Linked DNA regions of Neodiprion lecontei. The protein of the gene in region 1 purifies or fractionates together with the protein of each later gene. This does not show direct contact. Links are inferred from orthologs where the notes say so. Each region holds a gene or a part of one and is shown on either strand. Other genes may lie near its edges.

The links.
Region 2: the proteins of kinase suppressor of Ras 2 (region 1) and hsp90 co-chaperone Cdc37 purify together in Homo sapiens (affinity purification with mass spectrometry; 3 studies listed by BioGRID and IntAct, with this or other methods). This does not show direct contact. The link is inferred for Neodiprion lecontei from reciprocal best matches to the Homo sapiens genes KSR2 and CDC37.

Annotation. Positions count from the first base shown.
Region 1 is NC_060266.1:5,382,288-5,392,986, reverse strand, and holds the start of kinase suppressor of Ras 2, read left to right. Parts: upstream 1-5,444; 5' UTR 5,445-5,610; coding exon 5,611-5,763; intron 5,764-8,188; coding exon 8,189-8,329; intron 8,330-8,475; coding exon 8,476-8,623; intron 8,624-8,754; coding exon 8,755-9,015; intron 9,016-9,807; coding exon 9,808-9,961; intron 9,962-10,135; coding exon 10,136-10,320; intron 10,321-10,699. Other genes in the region: peptide transporter family 1, read left to right, coding at 1-86, 259-533, 735-817, 957-1,376, 1,507-1,738, 2,362-2,951, 3,224-3,409. UniProt on the Homo sapiens protein: Location-regulated scaffold connecting MEK to RAF. Has very low protein kinase activity and can phosphorylate MAP2K1 at several Ser and Thr residues with very low efficiency (in vitro).
Region 2 is NC_060264.1:26,443,337-26,454,645, forward strand, and holds hsp90 co-chaperone Cdc37, read right to left. Parts: upstream 4,231-11,309; 5' UTR 4,045-4,230; coding exon 4,012-4,044; intron 3,653-4,011; coding exon 3,519-3,652; intron 3,388-3,518; coding exon 2,940-3,387; intron 2,483-2,939; coding exon 2,177-2,482; intron 1,954-2,176; coding exon 1,765-1,953; 3' UTR 1,204-1,764; downstream 1-1,203. Other genes in the region: ER membrane protein complex subunit 6, read right to left, coding at 1-70, 183-343, 586-625; ero1-like protein, read right to left, coding at 6,269-6,320, 6,388-6,681, 6,755-7,106, 7,297-7,340, 7,428-7,613, 7,738-7,895, 7,979-8,182, 8,635-8,745; protein arginine methyltransferase NDUFAF7, mitochondrial, read left to right, coding at 9,097-9,432, 9,546-9,653, 10,228-10,491, 10,570-10,689, 10,949-11,309. UniProt on the Homo sapiens protein: Co-chaperone that binds to numerous kinases and promotes their interaction with the Hsp90 complex, resulting in stabilization and promotion of their activity. Inhibits HSP90AA1 ATPase activity.

The DNA.
Region 1 (10,699 bases):
ACCATTTTTTACGTGAGCATCATCTATGCCATTGGACAATTGGTACTTACGGGGAGTGCGGCACCTCCTTTGAATTTGCCCGATCGGTAAGTGAAGTGCCTGAACATGTTTAGTTGTTTTTTTTTTTCTTTTTACAGGTGTAAAATAGCCGAGACTATGCATAATATGCATAGTATATTACATGAATAGCATAATAGGCAAGATGCGCGGAAGATATGATGAAAATAGAAAAAAATTTAATTTCTGTTTTCTTTACAGAACATTTGCGCTGTTGGGGCTGCTGTTGATCGCCATTGGAACAGGAGGAATCAAGCCATGCGTTGCAGCCTTTGGTGGTGACCAGTTTTTGTTGCCGCAACAGGAGAAATATTTGATCACCTTTTTCTCCTTGTTCTACTTCTCGATCAATACCGGATCGCTGATCTCGACTTTCCTCACTCCTATTCTTCGCGAAGATGTTTCCTGCTTCGGTGAAAACACCTGCTACTCCCTAGCGTTTTTCGTTCCGGCAATTCTTATGATTCTTTCCATTGGTAGGTTTATTTTAATCAAGAAAAACGGTATGATTATATATTGTCAAGGACAACAATATAATTGCTGTATTATTCGTGCATCGTTCATGTTAGTATAGCTTCCTTAAAAAAACATTATGCAGTATTTTAAAAAAAATAATCTTCAAGTTTGATAGACTATGAACCAAAATTCATGCCTCAATATTCGTTTCTCTATTCCAGTGATCTTCATTCTTGGTAAGCCAATGTACAAGATAAAATCCCCACAAGGAAACGTGGTATTAGAAGTCGGAAAGTGTATCTGCGTGAGTACATGACATACTTTTACAAAAGTGGAATATATAACCACGGTTGATGATTGATAAAAACAAAGAAGTATTTTTGAATAGGACTGTGATTATTTTGTTTTGACTGTTTGGAATTTCCAAAATTAATTAACTGCAGCATGGAATCGGCAATAAATGGAGGTCGAAGAAAGGTGAAGAAAGAGAATACTGGCTGGATTACGCGGATGACAAATACGACCCGAAATTCATCTCGGATATCAGGTCAGCGTTCCAAGTGATAAAAATGTTCCTCCCGCTGCCCTTTTTCTGGGCCCTGTTTGATCAGCAAGGATCAAGATGGACGATCCAAGCGACACGAATGGACGGCCAGATCGGCAGTTTTCTCCTAAAGCCGGACCAGATGCAAGTGGTCAATCCACTGCTTATCATCATATTGATACCGATTTTCGAAACCGCAATTTATCCCTGCCTTAACAAGTTGCGTCTGCTGCGAACTCCTCTGCAGAAGCTCACCACCGGTGGACTCTTGGCTGGAATTGCATTCATAATTTCTGCCATCGTGGAGTTGCAGCTTGAGGTATAAATTTTAACCACTATAAAAGTGCTATTCCTCATCAGTTTCAACAGTACAATTATAATTATGGAATCTTCTAGAACCATGCAAACGTCAAGAACGTATAATTTCAGATTTCCTTAATATATTTCAGTCAACGTATCCCGTGCTTCCTTCGTCTGGACTAGCCCAAGTCAGAGTCTTCAACACCTTGAATTGTCCGATCACAATGACAGTCGGAGATGATTCTTTTGTGCTGGAAAACATGGAGGTTTGGGAAAATAAGTACGTTGAGGCCAACGGTAACGTTAGTCTCGCTTACACTGCCAATTTCGCTAGTTGTTCGAGTCTTGGCGTGACAGATACGTTGAACGGAGCCGTGAGTGGTAAGTGGGGAATGTTTGTACGCATTGTAAAAAAGAGCCACATCACCTTTCGTACACGAAGAGAATAAAAGAGCAGATGTACTAAAAACTTCAGGAACAAAGGAACACATCATATGATTTGGTAAAATATACTTTGCAAAATGCAGAATTTATTCTAGAAACAGTGAAAACTACTGTGTGCAAAGTAAAATCTACTAAATTTCTAGTAAAAAATATAATTGACATCGGTATTTTTTTACCAAAAACCCCGATGTGTCCTTCTTTTCTTACAGTTTTGAGTAAAATCGCTCTTTTTTTTCTCTCCGTGTACCTTTGCGGAATAATTTCACGGAAAGATATCCCGTCTGCATTTACGCAATACAAGGGAGATTTCTAACGAAATCCGGCTGCATTTCGGCAACTCCGAGTACATTTTAACGATCGAAATTTGTCTCTCATGGTCTACGATTGGACGTAAAGAGAAGAGTCGGCCAATCGCGAACAATGAGCAAAATTTCAACTGGCAAGGAGTACCCTGTATTGCATAAGTGCAAGCGAATTCACCACGCGATGAATTATCCTCGTAATATTCTTGTGGAATGACCTGATATACGGTTACTTAATGAACATGTGAAACGTTTCAGGAACCATTTATGGAACTGAAGCTACTGCCACTTCATGGGTCGTAACGAAAGATGGAATAAGCAACAGCTACGTGGACAGCGTGTCCAAGACGACGAGTGGAGATCCGGCTGTCCGAGCTTTGGTTTACCTCAACTCGTCGGTCGGGGATACGGCTAATCTAAACTTTATTGAAAATTCGAAAACCGTCCTGTCTTTGGAGGTGATATCGCCGTTCAACGTAACTGATCTTACCGAACTTGATCCTGGTACCTATGACATATATTTGGATGAGACCTTGGTAGAATCGTCAGTAGTGTTAAAGCTCGGAGGTGTCTACACCGTCACAGCTTACGTGAACGATCTCAGTTCCGCCACTGCCAACACCATTACGATCACCGAACCAAACTCCATGCACATGCTCTGGCTTTTGCCACAGTACATCGTGATCACTGTCGGAGAAGTTATGTTCTCTATCACTGGTCTTGAGTTTGCCTTCACCCAAGCACCGGTCAGTATGAAAGCCTTGCTCCAGGCTTGCTGGCTTCTTACGGTCGCCTTTGGTAATCTTATCGTCGTTATCGTTGCCGAAGTAGCCTTCTTCGATAGCCAGGTAAGAATGGCTGTATACTTTACTTGAATACCACGATCTCGATATTTTTTTCATGCATCTTGTAATGTCGCGAACAGGATTTTAGATATTTATCATGTTTAAATTTTCACATTTGCATGCGTTCCAATTTCATTAATAGTACTACGTAATAGTCTATACTATATGTCCAAGAATGATCAAAATTATTAATGAATCCTTTTCAAATCGAGTTTGAGCTTTATTAGGTGTGAGTACCTTTTCGTTATAACAATCGTTTTCGTTTTATTTTCCAGGCGAGTGAATTCTTCCTATTCGCCGGCCTCATGTTTGTAGACATGTTAATATTTGGTATTCTTGCTTGGTTTTACAAGTACGTCGAGATTGCGGAAGATGAAGATGAACTTCCTAATGGAGATATCGTTCTTAACGAAAAGTCTGGTACAACGAACCCGTCATTCAAAGACGATGGCGGTAAGTGATTTGTCCTGGCATCAAACCAGACTGGTTGTGAAACACTTGAAGATACCTTTTATCTACAAAATGTGTTCTACGTGAATTCGAACTGCTGTATATATACACCCCATTTACAACTTAACGTTTCATAATTGTAAATAAATTTAATGCCTTTATACATATCCATATACAGACGTGACCAGTTCGTTATGTTGTGTAAATAAAATTTATCTCTTTAACATTAGGTCAACGATTATTTAATTAAAACGTTTCAGTAACCGTCAGTAATTATACATATGGTTTCGTTTGTTATATTATTAGCATCAAAGAGCCGACCTCTAAAGGCTAATTTTTCATTTTCTCGAATGGTATCCAATATTTGAATTTTTTATTCTTACTCGAAATTTGGCTCTCAGTTGTGAGTATTTTGTAGCTCAAGACTTCCTTTAATAAAGCACTGTGTTCACGAGACCAAAAATCACAGCAAGTTCGCAGATTTAAGTTTCGTAGCAAGCATTGCGCATGTGCAGTACTTAATTATGGGCTGTAGGGTGAGTCCAATTTTCCTCGACTCAATTCAATTCACTGAGCACCCGAAAAACCCATCTAAAAAAACCTGGTCCGAACAAACCCGGTCTAAAAAAAATTTCTCTTTTAATATTGTTTTTTGATGAAAGGTGAAGAGCGTGTATTTTTATATTATATGTGTTTATCAAGTATTGGGAAAACGTCGAATGAATAATTGGCCTTAAAATAATACCTTATACCTAGTAACTATGTTATAAAGTAATAAACATGACTGTGAACTCGTTCATAGTATATCATGAGCATCTACTAGACAAAACTGTAGTAGCACGCTTGCAGGAAGCAAAAATTGTTTGCAGAATGGTTTGATTCATACACTAAATTATTGATTAATAGTTAATAAATTAACCAAATGGGTTATATCATTAATTCCATGTTCAATGACGCTAAACAGAAATGCAATACTCATCGCATCACAAATGTGTAATGAATCAGATCCAATTTTACTCGGGTTTTATGAGGAAAAACCTGAGAGAACCTGGATTTTTGAGACTTTAAGGGCATGTGATAGCGCTTTTGTATCGACCGAATTAGTTGATCCTTATTTTTTGGTATCATTAGTAAACTAAGAAATGAAATTTGTTCATGGCAGAGCATTGCGTTTCCTTAATATTTGTCTTGTGGCCTTTTCAGAATATTAGAAAGTGTCTTGAAGAAGTTCTATACATCAGTTCATCATTAGTGACGAAAAATAACAGCCAGTAGACTCGCAGGGGGTGGACTACTTATACTCTCCTCCATACGGTATTCAAAAGGTTTGAACCAAAGCGATACCACAACTATGGGACAAAAGTATATAATATAAAATTTTATTTGGCTACATTTTTGGTCGCCGAGTCTATGGTCGCCACAAACACTGAATTACCAATTCGTACGTAAAGTTGACCGAGCAACTTGAGTTTTTTTCAATTTCGATTATCCAATCGTTTGATAGTCGATTGGTGTGGCGGTAGTGATAGTATAAAATGTTCTATAATATCTTTAGTCCTAATCACTATTATGTTGGCTACAGTTTGGTCCAAGCCCGACGAGTAATTTGTCCGTGGAATGGTAGTGTCCACCCCAGCCTCCTGACACACGCTGCTAAAAGTGGTTCGCAAAATGTCCCTCGATTCTGCCGCCAATTCCCACCACTAGTGGCGCTAGTAGTTGTCTGACAAGCTTGCGCGCGCTCAGCGAGGGCAGCGAGCGTGTCAGAAGTCTACTAGCGCCACGTAGAGGAACTAAAAAACGGGGACAAAACGCGTACAAGTTTTCAGTATACGAGCAGTGGTGAGTGTTAGGAGGCTGGTGCACCCCATAGACTTCGATCACTGATCTCTATAGTGCCCCTGATTGACTCGCTCGATAAAAAAGGCCTACTACAACGTATGAAGGTAGGAAGTGATGAGTTTGCGAACGCACGTACTGGACTTTGATCGTCGACAAGGGGTTCAGGGCGGGGAGGGTTCCATACGTACGACTGCCGGGCGTCTCTGACGTCATTGATAGGCTGCCAAGATGGCTGTCAATGTTGATAAGTGGTTTGGTTACTTACGATACCTGTGATATTGAATTCGATAGGGGCCTCGCGTCGGGGATACTATGTTGGTGAAATAACAAGTTGTTTAGTGACCGAGACAAGAAGCTGTCACCGTTTCTCATGGCGGACAGCGAGGAGGCTGAACAGGACATTCGGCGAGCCCTAGATGTCGATCAATCCATGATTGACATCTGGGCCGATCGGCTTGAAGGCTTACGGACTCAGTGCTCTACCAGCGCGGAGTTAACACAACAAGAAATACGCACGCTGGAGGTACACGATGCATTTTTTCTTATGAAATTGGCCGCCTTTTGCTTCGCTAATTTCCCGATATCACTCGCCTATTCATGTTCCTTCTTGCTCCAAATCCGCTTGACCTGTTACAGGAAATAGAAAATATATCAATCATTCCTTTCTCCTGCTACTCTAAGCCTCGAATATTCCTATTTTCCAATTAAAAAATCCGTCCAATTATTTAAAATTGATCAATCGTATCGCACTGATTCTAATATAGGCCGGTATAATAATTCTCGAGAACATGATGCGCCAAGGCTTATCATTTAATTCTTGGAAACGAGCTGTCGATAAATACAGTTGTAATTCAATGTTTGATACCATGTTTTCAGTTAAACAAAATTCTCACAACATTCAGTGATTCTAAAAACATCACCGCTTGTCGTGTTAAGAATTTCTTTTTATTTCTTAATGTGTACCTTATCCACAGGGTAGGATTCTGTGCCAAGTAGCAGAGAATTCATTCATATGAAAAGTATCTTTCAAAGACTTGTCAGTCTTCAATTTTCCTTCTACAAGAAATTGATAACACTGCTATTATTGCATAGTTACTCGTTTCTTTCTTTTAAAACACAGTATCGGTTAAAATGTATTCTTTGTGATTTGTATTCCCTTGACCCAGTTAGTTTAATAATCAAGTGGCGCACTGCAAAAGTTTCAGTGTCACTTCATAGGAAGTCAGTCTTAAAATTTTACAATCAGCATCAAATTATTGTAGCATGGTAATATTCATAAAAATTGTGTTATGTTTGTTTTGTTTTTTTTAGTCCTTAAGTTGATTTCAGATGGTTGATCTAAGAGCAGAATGTTTGTTATTGAAACATTGTTGCTTAGAAAGTTTTCTGTGTTAATCACAAGCCGGAACCAATTTTCCTCGTTATACTTCAAAAATATCTAGAACAAGATTGATTATGCTAACATGACATATTCCTTACTTCATAAACTTTAATGACAAAGTCAGCGAAATGGGGTCAGCATCTAAACTCTAAAAAATTGATTTTTCAAACTCAGAAGATCTCCGTTCGTAGCACTTTTCTCGGAGCATTTTAATTTTCTTCTATTCTACCATTGTGTGATGACATAATTTTACAATTAATACTCAAGAAACCTGGAAATTACTACGATTTTTACTGTTCTAAGTGTAAAAATATATGGTATACTTTATAAAATTTCATGAATCTATCCAAGTTAACAATACATCTGTATAATAAAAATTGTTTGGTAACAACGCCTCCAATGAATTAACTGCTCTTATGTCTAAAATAAAACTGCTTATTCAGTATATTTCAAGTTCAGTGTTCAAGTTCAAATTTGCCACACTTCAAGTATAAAAAACATGATTTTGGATAAATGAGAGATTGAGGAATAATATCCACGTGTTTTTTTTTTTCAGTCTATTATCAGTCTATTTGTCAAATAACCGTTAAACATTTATGACAACTATGTTGTAGATTTAAAAAAATTTTAAATACACTTTGGGAATCTCAATTTTCATGCAAAATGCGTCTCATTGCCTAATAAAGCCAAGTTCTAAGTTCCCGAAAGAATTCCATACAATACTTCAAACTTCGACAATGATTCAACTATCATGGACAAATTTTTTTGGTTGTTACCATGGCATTGTTAGTACAGCCACATTAATATGTCAATTTCCTGCAGTTCTCTATGACCTGTACAAATTATACTGTGTTTTCACATGGGATTTCAACATGCTGTAGTTTTGTACCCAATCAATTTTCAATTTCCACACATTTGAACTTGGTCAAACTATTGAATTGTAGGTACGATTTATAAAAAAGTCTTACACCAATCTTATTCAATCAGTGAAGTGATGCCTCTTGTTTCTTACATTTCTGTCCATAATCTAGTCGACATTGATAAAAAAAATTCCAAGTAAATATCAAAAGCATGTCTTGTGGAAAGGAACAAGGAAATTCGTTTTTATTTATACTAAGGATTTACATATACAGAAGAAAAAGCTGATTTCTTTAATTTGAAGATGCATATTTTGCATATATGTCTACTGTTTTATTTATCTCTGCATTTTTAAATCCGTTTATTCTACCACCTTTCAACTTCTTCCTTAGGTTTTAGCTGTTGCGATGAATTTGGAACTCAACATTGAGTTTCATGATTGTGTTCGTTATAATTTTGTAAAATAATATACATGATACGAAACTCATTTTTAGATTATTAAAATATTTGTATATCAAACTTTTAAGCCAGCTATTCTTCGGAAAGATAAAAGTTTAAAGATGACTACGCATTTAATATACAAGACACAAATATTCTGTCAGAGTGTTATTACATTGACTGATGCCGCATAATAAACATGATTATTTTAAAGATACAAAAAATAAAAAGTATAACGAATAATCTAATGATATATTTTTTTCGTCAACAGGGAAAATTGATAAAATTATATTCCAAACAACTTGTGAGGAAGGCTAAGCTTGCTGTCGAGTCATTGCCTGTTGAAATGAGGCAATATCCATCTCTGCAACAATGGCTTCGCGTTGTTGGCCTAACTCAAGAATCAATTCAGGTATCGTTAATTGCGATACTATTTTCAGCAGCTTTCAATTCTATTAAATGTACTATAGATCATTATTAGTATAAATGCTAAAGTGACACTAAATTGACCCACTATTGTGAAGATTACACGGATACATACAAATTATGTAATTACAGATGGTTTGTTCGAAAGCGAGTTCTCTGGAAGCGTTGAAAGAAAAGTCGGAGCATGAATTGGGTAGTATGCTGGGCGAGAACAATTTGCGTCACGAAGAAGAACTCCGTAGGCTCTGTAGGGCGTTACACAATCTGCACCGTTACATGGGTGAGCTTTGTAGTTCCTGTGTCGTATACAAAATTTAACACCAGTATGCATAAGTGATAAAATCACTTGACCCTTGGTAGTAAGTATTATATTTTAAACACTTCATTCAATGTAATGCAATTGTGTTACAGACGTTCTTTTGCGGGGCGATATGGAAAGTAGCGAGATGGCTCTGTATTGGGACTCCTGGGACAGACATCATCTACGAGGAGGGCCATCTCCTCGTTCAGCACGCTCTCGTACTACGCGTTGTTCCGTACCCTCTGAAGATAGCATTCCATATCACAATAACAATAATCTCAACAGCGATACATTGGGCCAAGCATCGTCTATAAGTTCTCTGTCGATGACAACACCCCCCTCTACGCCACTTTTGAACAGACAGGGCCGCAGTACGTTGCTTCAATTGATTTCTATCGTTTGAGGGACCACGTACAAGTAGATCGCTGATTTTCGGTATTTTATATCTCGACAGCCGATTATTCGGTTTGATCAGGTTTTTTTTAAATTCAAAAGTATGTGGATCAACTTTCGTTACAGTCATTTTTGTATTAGAATCAATTAATAGGAAGCTTTGTTAGTGACGGTAACACCCACGACGTCACTAACAGCGCAACCAATTTACTTCTAATTTGGAGACTGTATTTTTGAATATTTATCCCTTTTGCTGCTATCGCTCCTTTTCTTTAATCATAGTTTTCCTATTATAATTGAATATAATTTCTTTGACTTTGAACAAAAAAACTACAGAAATTCAACTTTAAATGGTCGCTATTTTATTGAATGAAGTAAAAAAAAAATAATAATAAGAGAAACTATTTCAGAATACTGTGTCCAAATTTCAAGTAAATTGGTTCAGCCATTTTTGAGGAATCACAGATACCACGAAACTCATCACCAAGTAAAGTAACGTCATTGTCGATGACAATATTCCCTCTTGATTCATTGTAGTAAAAATATATATATATATATATATATATATATATATATATATATATATATATAAATGCAGCTCGATTTGTATACTTTCAAATAAAGCAAATCCTAATTGAATTGTGTAATCAGTTGTTGAGGTATAAATTGCCGAAATTTACACAACTTTTGAGGCATCTACTCATATATATATACCCTACCTTAAGCAATGTAAAACGATCCATGATTATGAAAATTTCTCGTTCTTCCAGACGCAAGAGTTCCGACAACGCCTCCTCCCTGCAAGAGACACCAAACTGGCCTACAAAGTACTGTGACACAGCCTGAAGTATTTCCGCTAACTAAATCCAAATCACACGAATCACAGTTGGCCAATCGTCTAGAAAATGGGGAAACAGCGTCAAGGTTGTACTTTATTTTCAATATACTGTAAAGCATTACAGTCACCTGCTGATGATCTTGGAGACAAATATTCCATCTCATTCGGTTTAAATTATAACCTGTAATGTTAACGCTAAGAATAATTATAACTTGTTTGATAATTGGATTTACTTAATTTGCATGCCCATGTTGTAACAGTGGTGCAGATCCAACCGTTGGTAGCAGTACCACTAGAGCAAGATTGTCTACTGAGCCAGGTCCTCGTAGCAGTAGCGCAGACATTACTGGAGACATTCTTTTGGGTAACAGTAACACTGACAGTCCTATAAACTCGCCACCCTATTCCAGCGCTAACAGTGACGATAACAGCTTTAAGGCTACAGGTTAGATAATTCTCTACCTTTATTACAGATTTACCAATATATTTATTCGTAGAGTAAGGCGATGTGAAAGAGTTTATTTGTATTTAAAATTGTACATCATTGCCTGGAATTACTTACGCGGTTAAAAATGGATAAATTTTGGGAATTGATACGTTGACAATCAATTAAATTCGATCGGCATTTTGTTTATATCTAAGCACGTGAACCGAGGTTTGTTTGTGTAAATTTTTTAACAAATAAAACTCCCATAAATTGATTCTCATAAAAACAATATGTGAACACAGCTCGATGTTCTTACTTTTTGATAAAATAAACCTCAATCAAATTGAATGATTGTTTGTCGAGATATAAATTCCCAGAATTCACCCATTTTTCAAGC
Region 2 (11,309 bases), on another chromosome or scaffold:
TTGTTAGCAAACTTTGTCTACTTATGAAATACTTTTTCCATTGCCCACCAGTTTTCATCATAAGCAGCGCCTGTGAAAATAAACGTAAAAACACACGGTGTTAAACAGATTTATGAATACATTGTAAATACGGCGGCGAGTACAAGGTTCAAAGGGATTCAATAAGAGCGACTGTATCTTACCCATAACCCAACTACAGCGAATATATAAAATCCAAAACCATAGAGTCCAGTCAGACCCAAGAGTCCAGCCGTACTTCCAGATAACGCAGCCATGGATATCCTGCAGTATTCGACGACAGCTGAATTATTTCTAACCGCTCCCTCACTGTAAGCGACCACCTCTGAAATAAAGATTTGTCACAGTAACTATCACGTGACAGTATTATTGCAAAATATGTTGAACATAATGTAATGATTTGAACAAATTGTATCAAGTTGTCACATAAGTTCCGCTATGACAGATCATGACATGAAACAGTATGTGGCAAAAAACAAACATAACCTACATACATAATCTATGTATTTCGTTAGTCCTCGCTTTTCAATGGTCTGATTGATCATTGTAAGGACGTGGAACACTTACCGCCGGTTTTCTCTTGCTTTGTTCTTACTTTCGTAGACATGATAAGGCTTCCTTAAATTGCGGTTTGAAAAGAAAAAAATTACAATTCACTTCGACGCTTAACCCCAACACACAGGCATACACACGTAACACCACACACGCACGCGTCTCTTTTAATGTTTTACTCGCGGTCTTATAGTAGGTACTCCAAGCCCCTTCCTATATAACGCAGCGTGACCGTCTTGAGCCTGTGTTTCTCAATTTGTGCACCAAAGAACGGAGCGCTGCAATCTCCGAGGCCGGTGTATGCGTACTAAGTAGGCCTCTCCTTCACTAGCGCTAGCGGCGAAAATTCACAATATCGGCTTCACTTTCGAGCACGATTTTACAGCCGGAGTGCCCAGACTGTCTGTAAGACCGTGGTTTTACTCTATCAGAATCACTGGGCAGTGATGGCTACTCAGAATTTTTTTTATCCCACGAACCAGTGATTTTAGGCTCGCTGATTGGTTAAAAAGTAGTTTCCTTGACAAATGGTCAAAATTTTGTCAATTAATTTGTAAGTTTTTTCAGTTCAATTGATAGGCCACTATTGTATATTTTAAATCTAAGTATTCATTAAAGGATAAGATGTTGCACTTCAAGAATCGGCACGTATTTACACGGTTTATTATTTTCTAATTTTATACAGAGTAGAATTTGACACTGAAATCTCCCCTGTCAGTCATGTTGTTCTTGAAATTATGAATCGTTGAAGCGTCGACGATGAATGTAATATGTAGCAGCTATAGCGGTAGCAACATTAACAACAACAATGACAATAATCATAATAATCATTTTTTTTTCACTTGTAAGGATAAAAAAAAAACGGCAGTTTTACAGCAAAAAGACATTATACGCAATGGACAATGTCTAGTTTACTTTTCGTCTTGAATTTGACGTAACACCACTGTATTGTCAGTTCTTCCAATAAATCAGAACAATAATCTCAAAGACTCTTTTCATATGATCTGACTGACATTTAGTCAACATGACCAATATGATTATTATTCTTCTTCAACGAATGATCAGTTCTTCGACAAAACAGCAACATAAGTAATACCCAGTTATGTAATACATTACAATTGAGTATAAGTGCATGTTGTATTGAACGAAAAATAATTCGAGTAATAATTTTTCGTCAATTTGTGCTAAATATTATTATTCAGGGTCTGGAGTTCCGATGGCTTCTTCTTCTTCCTGTTGTTCTTTAGCAGCCTTTGCATCTGGGACCCATAGTCCGCTATCGATGCATCGTTTCATGTGGTACCTTGCTTCCTCTTCTGGCATTGATGCTATCGTCTGTTGCAACAACGGTATATCCTGTGCCTCAAAGCACTTTTGTAAGGCCTGAAATACAGAGTGAGAGCTCAGCAAGATCCTGAGAGCTGATTATACAAACAGTAACTTTGTAAGAGAAAATTGCGAACAACAGTCAGCACATAAGAATAATTAGTAGATAAACAGGTAGGGGAGAAGATAATTGAGACCAGTCAGCAATCAGCAATAAGTAGTAGATAAACAAGTAGGGGAGGTTTCAAACACGGGGTAGATATGCAGTTTAAACACCAACCTCAGGAAGTTCTTGAAACACTTGGACCGGATCTAGACCTCCAGGACCAAGGCGACTCTTTCGTTCTTCCTCTTCGGCTTCTTTTAGTGCCTCAGCTACTTTTTCTGCCGCTCTCTTGCGAATCCTTTCCTTAAAGGACTTCAGTTCGTCATCAAAGGAATTTTTATATTCAACCTCAGCGATTTGTATACGACTGAAGAAAGATCCGACACAGGCACGTGGGTCGACATCTAGCTGCTTGGAGAGTTCAAGAATATACTGCATGCAAATGCACTGGTGAGCTACATGCTCCATTAGGTCGTGTTTCTGCAACAATAGGAATAAATTCGTGGGTAATAAGTTCACAAACAAGAAGCAGCGATTTTAGTTTTTATAAGCCAGAAAACAAATGAGGAAAAGATCCTGAGAATTTCACCTCACACGTGTATTTCAGGAGAAAAATTGACAAAATCGCTAATAACGATACAGTCATAGCACAAACTTGTGTTTTTTCCGATTTGACTGTATGGGACTCTACGAGTATTTTGACTTGTGGATAATGGATTAATTTTCTACTCAAATGGTAACGTGACATCTATATTGGCATATTATCATTTCTTCATTTTCTTTCTTTAACTGTACTAATCATAAGGTAAAATAAATTCTATAGAATGTTTCATTTTTGGCCATCGTGAATAACTATGCGATTTAAAGAATTTGAAACAGTCTACAAATTTAAGATACAAGAATTTGTTATAAATCGACATTTTTTGTGTATACAAACCTCTTCCATTTCCAAGTTGATACACCAAATGACCAAGTAATTCGCCGTATTTTCGCAAACCAAATCTGGGTGGTCCTGGAGATATTTCTTACTATCGTCATACCTCCGCAGCATACCAAATTCCTTCAAAGTTTTTTCATTACGCTTAACAAACTGCTTCATCCTGTTCTCTTTCTCTTCATCTGGCAAGTTACTCTCATCTTCCTTTCTAGCTGGCTTTGTATTTATTACCGTCTTTGTAAAACCTGGTTGGGCAATTGTATCCACATTCCAAGGTTGTAACTTTTCCTTCTTCTTTAATTCTTCTTCCTTGTGCAATATCTCAGACTCTTTCATTTTAAGCTCTTCCAATGCCTTTTTAACAGATGTCAGGTCTTGCTGGTCCTTTTCCTCACCCTTTTCTACCTTGCTCAACTTTTCCTCCGCCTCTTTCAACTTTCGCGCAATTCTGCAACACGTGTATCATTTTTCACAATATTTTTCATACACCTTTAAACATGCCTAAATTTTCAACAGGAATGGACAAATCAAACCATTCTATGTAATTTGACAAGTCTTACTAGCAGGAAACTGTCTTACTCCTCTTTTTCTCTTTCATGCTTCTCCTGTTCTGCTCTTTGTTCCTGCATCCTTTCCAATCTAGCCTGATGCCGCCACCTAAACAGTGACGGAGTATCGATATTGGGATGGGTGTCATCTTCGTCATCAGATATCTAAGAAATACGAAAGAATTATAAGTAGGTATAACGAACAGAGCTCGGCAAAATAATTTTATAATTCACTTTTTGTTCATTCAACAAAAAATTTACTTATAATCTAATTCATGTACACGCAAGAAGTATAAATATCATTTAATTGTCAAATTCAAGGCTAGGAAACTGGTGAAAGGGCTTGAATTTTGTGCTTCGATAAGAATTGCGCGATAGAAAATTCCTAACTCAATAAACCGATATTGGCAAACATCGCGTTTATCTAAGATTCAGATTCGCATCTGCGGTTTCTCGAACCTTCCAAGATTCTCTTGTCCGCTCGGCCTCGTGTACTGGAGCCTTTGAATTACGATAGGACTCACCTCTATGTTTTTCCACTTGCTGTAATCGACCATTGTTGTGTTGTACAAGAGTGGTGCGGAACAGGTCTTCTGCCTCGTACTGTTGGTTAGGAAATTTGACAATTGTCAGGTGATACCGGTTTCTGGTAAACGCTGGTAACTGCTACTTGCACAGCCTCCGGATCTAAGCGTGCAAGCAAAATGCCAATGCACAATGCCAAACATTCCAGGTAGATCACGCGACGCGAGCGGCCTCCGTCGGATACGTATAGCAAAGTATCCACGAAATAGAGTACAATCAAGATAGCGCTGCTATAGGAAAAGATTCACATTTAAAAAAAAAAGCGCTCATCAGATTGACTCTGATTGCTTATTTACGCCATTCTGATTACTTGTTGAACACTATTTGTCGCTTTTTGGTGGACACTTTTTTAATTGACAATCCACATGAAACACTTCTTACCTCTAGCCTTCATAGAGATTGTTGACTGAGGATATATAATCTTCAGTCAATGATAGAGATAACATAAGATCACTGAAATCACGATAGACTGAAATATAATGATACTGGAACGCTTAATGCGATGGTGGGGGTTTCGGACCACAGAATTCTTTTGTAATGTTTATAGGTTCCACCGAGTAGTAGTCGAGTACTCACAAAAGTACGAGAAAACATCCGATTTTGATACAGATACGTAATTGATAAAGAGAAGAAAAACTGAATTTCCTAATGACTAAAAATACGTAAATAAACAGAAGGTTGAAGCATACATTGATCATAAATAATGTTATATTGTTTCAATATTTTTTCATTATAAATTATTTACATAATTTTAAATTGCAATAAATATTTCACTTTGTTCGACTATAATATATATAACAATATGCAATGCCAAAGTTTCCACCTACTCTTGAAGCATAACGCAGGCAGAAAGGTTTACTAAATTATTGTAAACATCTTGCATAAATTCTTAAAAATATGTGTATACCAAATAATAAACGACTGCACCATAGCGTTAATAAATGAACTGTGCTCATAATAGATTGGTACAAATTCTTTAAGTTTCGTTCAAATATTGTATTGTATAATATGTATACAACAATAAAAATTCTCGACTTATCAATGTTTTGAAATATACAGAGATATATCGTTGTAACTTATAGTCTTAATTATGAAATTCCGTTGAAACTAGGTTGGTTAAAATATGGAATTTTATAATTTTAAGAGCCACCTTTTCACATTGTCTGTTCCATAATATGCATGTAATATTGATAGTCATTGATGTAGCTATATCAGCCATTTTCCCGCCTTCACAGAATGTTTCATATTTGTTCAGAGATCAGATCGGGCTTTGATATTACAATTATACTACATATACTGTTCATGGAATAAATCATTCATTATGAATAATAACTTTTCCGAGCGAAAGAAAAGATATATGCGTTGAGCCTACTATTTGGAAATTGGATAGTTATAAACGGTAAGAATATACATTGTATAATACACCGATAATCATTACGCCTATTATACCCACTGGAGGAAAGTATGTATCACAGACAGTAGAGATAGATTATTTTACAGATACATCATGCTTTCATTCATTGTCAGTGAAACAGTAACATAAGAAATAGAATGCTCATGTCTGACGTTTCCCGTTACCCATTCAACTTATTACAGGACCTATATCTCTTTTGTTCCTACTTCTGAATAGTGATGTTTATTTCCCCAAACACTTTCATTGGTAAAAGAAACGGAACTTAGGAATAATCATAAAAATATTGCAGAGAGCTTCAATTGATTCAATTTGTAGAGATAAGATTTCTCGTCATTAAATTATTACAACTCTCTCGCATCCAACGTTTCGCGTTCTGGATCGTAATTTTCTGTAAAATCAAAAACCACCGGAGCTTTCAAGCTACAACAGTCTCAAATACGATTCGAATTGTGCGTGTCATTACCGTTGGTAAATTTCTTAAACTCTACTTTTTACACCCGCATATCGCATTTTCACGCTTGCAACGAATTCGAGATATATTTACTTAAAAAGCGTTATAACGAAATTGAACTCTATGAACGTTGACTACAGGAATGCCACTCCGTGTGAAACAAATGTTACACCTGATCAAATTAACGTATTTTTTGTGACTGTAATGTGTACTTAACATGTATAAGTCAAAGCTATACCGACATTATTATGAATATTATATAACCTACGTGTGATGTTTAAGTCTGAAAAAAAGCCAATAAAAATATTCACTCCTCAACGTCATCATTGTGCTATCTCATCATTTGTCGGAACATTTCCAGTTCGAAAACACTGTCAGACAACCTGTAAATAATTCAATATTTAATGACTTGAATTTTGGATTCAAAACAAAAATAGATATCATACCGACCTTCCAAAAGCGTTGATCAATGCAACTATTTCACTTCTCTCAAGATAAAACTGTTGCTTTGTAATATCATCCAATGTTGGTTCCCATCTATCAAACTTTCCAGAAAATAATATTTTCAATGCCGTTCCCAATCCGTGGATCTGCAACTTTCCCCAGAGTTTGCACTTGTCGCAACCAACGCAGTCCATAATCCTTGATATATTTCTGAAATGTTGTCTAAACTCTTCTTTCAACGCTTTATCCTGTGCTCCTCCATTGAACATAACACTTTCGTTGAAGTGATCAGGAAATGACCTGAAAATATTCTAAAATGTATCAAAATATTGAGCTCGTTATAAGCAAAAACGAAACACATGTGCGTATTTACCTTACGACATTCAAGAAATCATGAACAGCCAATCTGGTATCGCGATCATCCTCGTCATTACCAGTATAATATTCTTCTCTCAATAAATAAGGCGCAGCCTTCGCCAATGCTCTTAATTCAAGCAGATAAATGAAATACAAATTTTTCAGCCAAGTTGGTCCTTCGCCTCCAGTTGTTTCCGGAGAGAATCTCCTCTGTAGTTCTGATAAATTTGGACCCCATTGAGCACCAGCTGACACAGTTTCCAAACTATCCTTTTCTGACAATAAATACTTGGAGCACAGGTGAATGTTGATGCTCGAGTGTAACCCTGATACAACTCTATAGAAGACTCTCTTCTCTAAGCACATTCCTGTAAAATGTAATATTTTGGTGTTACTCATATAATTTGTGCATAAACTCAAATAGAATACAAGGTCATCCCATTCCGTGAAAAATAATCAATGAATTATGTCCATCAGAGTCAATATCTTAAAATCTTATCCAAAGGATGATGTGGAGATAAGATATGTAAAAATGTCTGGTTTCTCAATGAAATTTACCGTTCATTTTTGATTGTACAAAGTTGCGAGTAGACTTCTCTGGCCTAGAAATAATTAATGGCTGTTATAATATACATCCAAAAACGTAAGGATAAAAGTTTCAAAAACTCAGAAATTTCAAAAATAATTACCTGAAGCAATTTTCCATATAGATACTTCTCCATATTCTATGAGCACTGGGGCCCCTATAGCCTGTATACCTTTCAGGATTTAGCAACAAATCAACATATTCACCAGGACTTGTTTCACTCACACAGAAATTATCGACAGCGTCGTCGTGCTTTTGCCACATTTCAAATTCCTCATAATTTTTTACACTAGAACGAAATAACGTAATTAACCGTACATCTATTATTTGAGCTAAACCTGTTATCAAACTGTGAGTTAGTGCGGTATTTTTAACATTTTGCAAGAATTGGTTCATCATAACTATCCCTTTACCTAATCGTCGTGTTTAAATATCCAAGCTCTTTGTTATAGTCTTGAGAACTTCTTTCGCAGTCTTCTAGCGGTCTAGGAGCACTGTACTTATCGGCTGGATTTTCGTTGTAATGATTATGCCTAGATACATCTCCTTTCAGTCCAGCTGGTATATCTTCCTGTAAAAAAATTCTCAATTACACTGAAATATTTATGCATAACAGATAAATACATAATTGAATGAATAATTTACTACACTTACATCTTGGCATGGTTCTACATGACAGTAGCGTATCGCACATCTGCTGTCATCTGACCAGAAAGGACATTCTTGTTTCAAGTTGACTTTGTAAAATCTGAAGTAATCCTTAACCAATAGACTCCTTAACCTCGGATATATTTTCATATTATTGAAATGATCGACTGTATCCACGCTGCAACTACAGTCATCTATGGATCCTTTGAGCTACCAAGGCAATGGTAACAAGATAAAATAATGCTGACACTGTTTTCAAATTTTCTCATCATACTGTACAAAAGCAGAGGTAACAAACATACGGACTATAGACAGGCAAGTGAAGAAATGTTTGTACGGACTTCAAAATTACGACGATAATTGTAATTTTGTTCCTCTAATGCTCTATAATGCTCGTCAAAGGATGACAACGATCATAATAATAACAACAATAACGGGAACTATTGAAGACAATAATAATAAGAAATTGAAACGTCGAATCGGTCGCTCGTTGGTAGCGTGAAAAGCTGCGTAAACAATACTGTTGTTATTTTTTGATTGCGTAATCGAGATAGTACTCTGGAAATTCGTTCAGTTGACATCTGTTGTTTTGGGGTTATGTTAACGAGGTCACATATTTGTCAGGTCAAGATCAAGGACGATGCCTGGAATGATCATCTCACCTTACAGAAACATTGGTCATCGTTATCATTGCTTGTCCCGAAGTAATTAGCGTCGACACCGAACGTTGGGAATAAGAACAAAATAACGATCACTGAATTTGACAGCCACATTGTGCTGCCACAACACTGATTTATCTACACGTTCAATGAGAATGAAATGAATCTACAAAGAATCCGCGACGGTTGAATACTGAACGCGATTGTCGCAAGTGATGCCTTCTTAACCGACGTCGGATTTCCTCGTGACTAACCTCAACCGCACATCACGTAGTGCAACATACTGAGAAATCGCGTAATCTTCGAAAGTTCGCAAGACGTGTACGTTTCGTTAACGACGTGAGGCGGTGCGCGTAGGGCACGATAACGTTCTTTGAAATCGAAACGGGGAGGTGTAAATTTGTTGTACCGGGATAGGTTTCACTTTTCCCGTAGAAAAAAATATCAGCATCGCAGCCGCGTGACATGTTCCCGGTGTCGTGTAAGCAATTTATTGGTTCCCCGAAAATAGTACGACACTTGGTAGACCGTTATTGCACTACCGATCGTACCTATCAATTGGCATCTGTTTTGAAAGGTCGCTACGTTTCGACCGGTACTAAGGATGATCCTCAAAAGGAGAAGTCGATTTTATATAGGCATCTTTACTCCCGAATATTGGCCGGCGGGCCCATAACTATAGCTGAATATATGAGGGAAGTTTTGACCTCTCCAAGTGCTGGATATTACATGAATAAAGACGTTTTTGGCACTGAAGGTGACTTCACTACTTCCCCAGAAATCAGCCAGCTATTTGGAGAGGTAATCCTGATGGCCTACAAAAGCAATAAACGATCATCGCTAACCCTTTCATCAATTGTTGTTTTTATTATTATTAGATATGCAGTATTGATTAATCTTAGACATTTCGATAGATGATTGCTGTCTGGTCTGTAAACGAATGGAGAAAAATAAGCAACCAATCTGTGCAGCTGGTGGAATTAGGTCCGGGACGAGGAACCTTATCAAAAGATATACTCAGGGTGTGTCAAAAGATCTCATTAGTCCAAGGCTCACCTTTGTTCGTTTAGTTCAGATACACTAGAACCAAAAAAAAAAAATTAGCTTTGAGGCTTATAATTTTTACTTCGAAATATTGCCCACTCTGCCAGACAACCAAATTACCTGAAATTTGCAAAACTTATCCAAAATGCTGTATGTAGGCTTGAAGAGTTACGAATCAAAACTCAAACGTGTATTTAATCTATCTGGTGGTAATGGTTTATGCATGATAAGTTTCAAGTGATTGTATGAATTTCTAATAAGTTAAATGCATAGATTTTCAGCTCTTCAGCTGACTAGAACAGTATAAGAAATATTTCAATGCTAACTTCACTTACCAGTCTATATTTGATCTTTAAACTTTAATTTTGAACCTAATGCTTTCTGGTATTTGTTTTATCTATGTTGATTAAACTCTTTACACGGTTCTATGGACTTGTTGACTATCTTGCATGCATTTTATTAGCTGGTCTCACTTTTATTGAGCATATAGCGAAGCAAGGGCCTTCCTCTCTCTTGTAGTATTGCTGATAGATAGGTGTCTCTGTCGTTCAGGTTTACCACAAACTGGGATTATCCTCCAGAGTTTCATTACATTTGGTAGAGGTCAGCCCAACACTGTCTGACCTGCAAGCAAAGAATTTATGCAAAACATATGAAGAAATTGACAATGACAAATGTCAATCTTATTACAAACATGGCACAACAGAGGATGGTGTCACAGTGTTCTGGTATCGAACCATCCACGATGTTCCTTCTGGTTTCAGCATCATAATTGCACAGGAATTTTTCGACGCTATGCCCATACATAAGTTTCAGGTGAACTAATCTGAGCGTGAAGATGGAATTTCCAGCTTCTTAGCTGCCAATTTAAAACATTGCTTCTTCCTTTTTTAGAAAACAAACGAGGGATGGAGAGAAATTTTAATCGACATCCATTCAGAGTCGAAAGAGACTGAAAAATTTCGCTACGTCTTGTCTAGGTCAGCTACTCCGAATACCAAGTTTTACATCTCTGTAAGCATTAGTGAGCGTAGGAAATATCTAACTTTCTAAAACAAATGAAGATAAGTTACATTTGATGATGAATAAGGTTTAGAGTCTGTTGTTTGCTGTCCGAATAAGTATGTGTGAAACAGTTATTACAAATTTGAAATATCTAAATGAGATACGCAATTTTAAATATAACCGTTGTTGAGAATTCTAGCACATATGACCCATACATGTAAAATTACATGATTTATGTCACTAATTTATATGCATCAATTTTTTTTAGGAACACGAACGCAGGGATCACATCGAAACAAGCCCGCAAACCGCCGTAATTATAGATTATATTGCAAATTTTCTCATAGGAAACGGAGGATTCGCGCTTATTGCTGACTACGGTCATAACGGAGATCGAACAGACACGTTTCGAGCTTTCCGTAATCACAAGCAGCAGGATCCACTCACGAATCCAGGAACAGCTGACTTGACTGCAGACGTTGACTTCTCACTGCTGAGGAGAATAGCATGTCAAAATAATCGTCTGATATCATTTGGCCCCGTCACCCAGAGACATTTTTTAAAACAGCTTGGTATCGACACCAGGCTGATTATGCTGTTGAAGAAAGCATCCGACGACAGTACCAGAA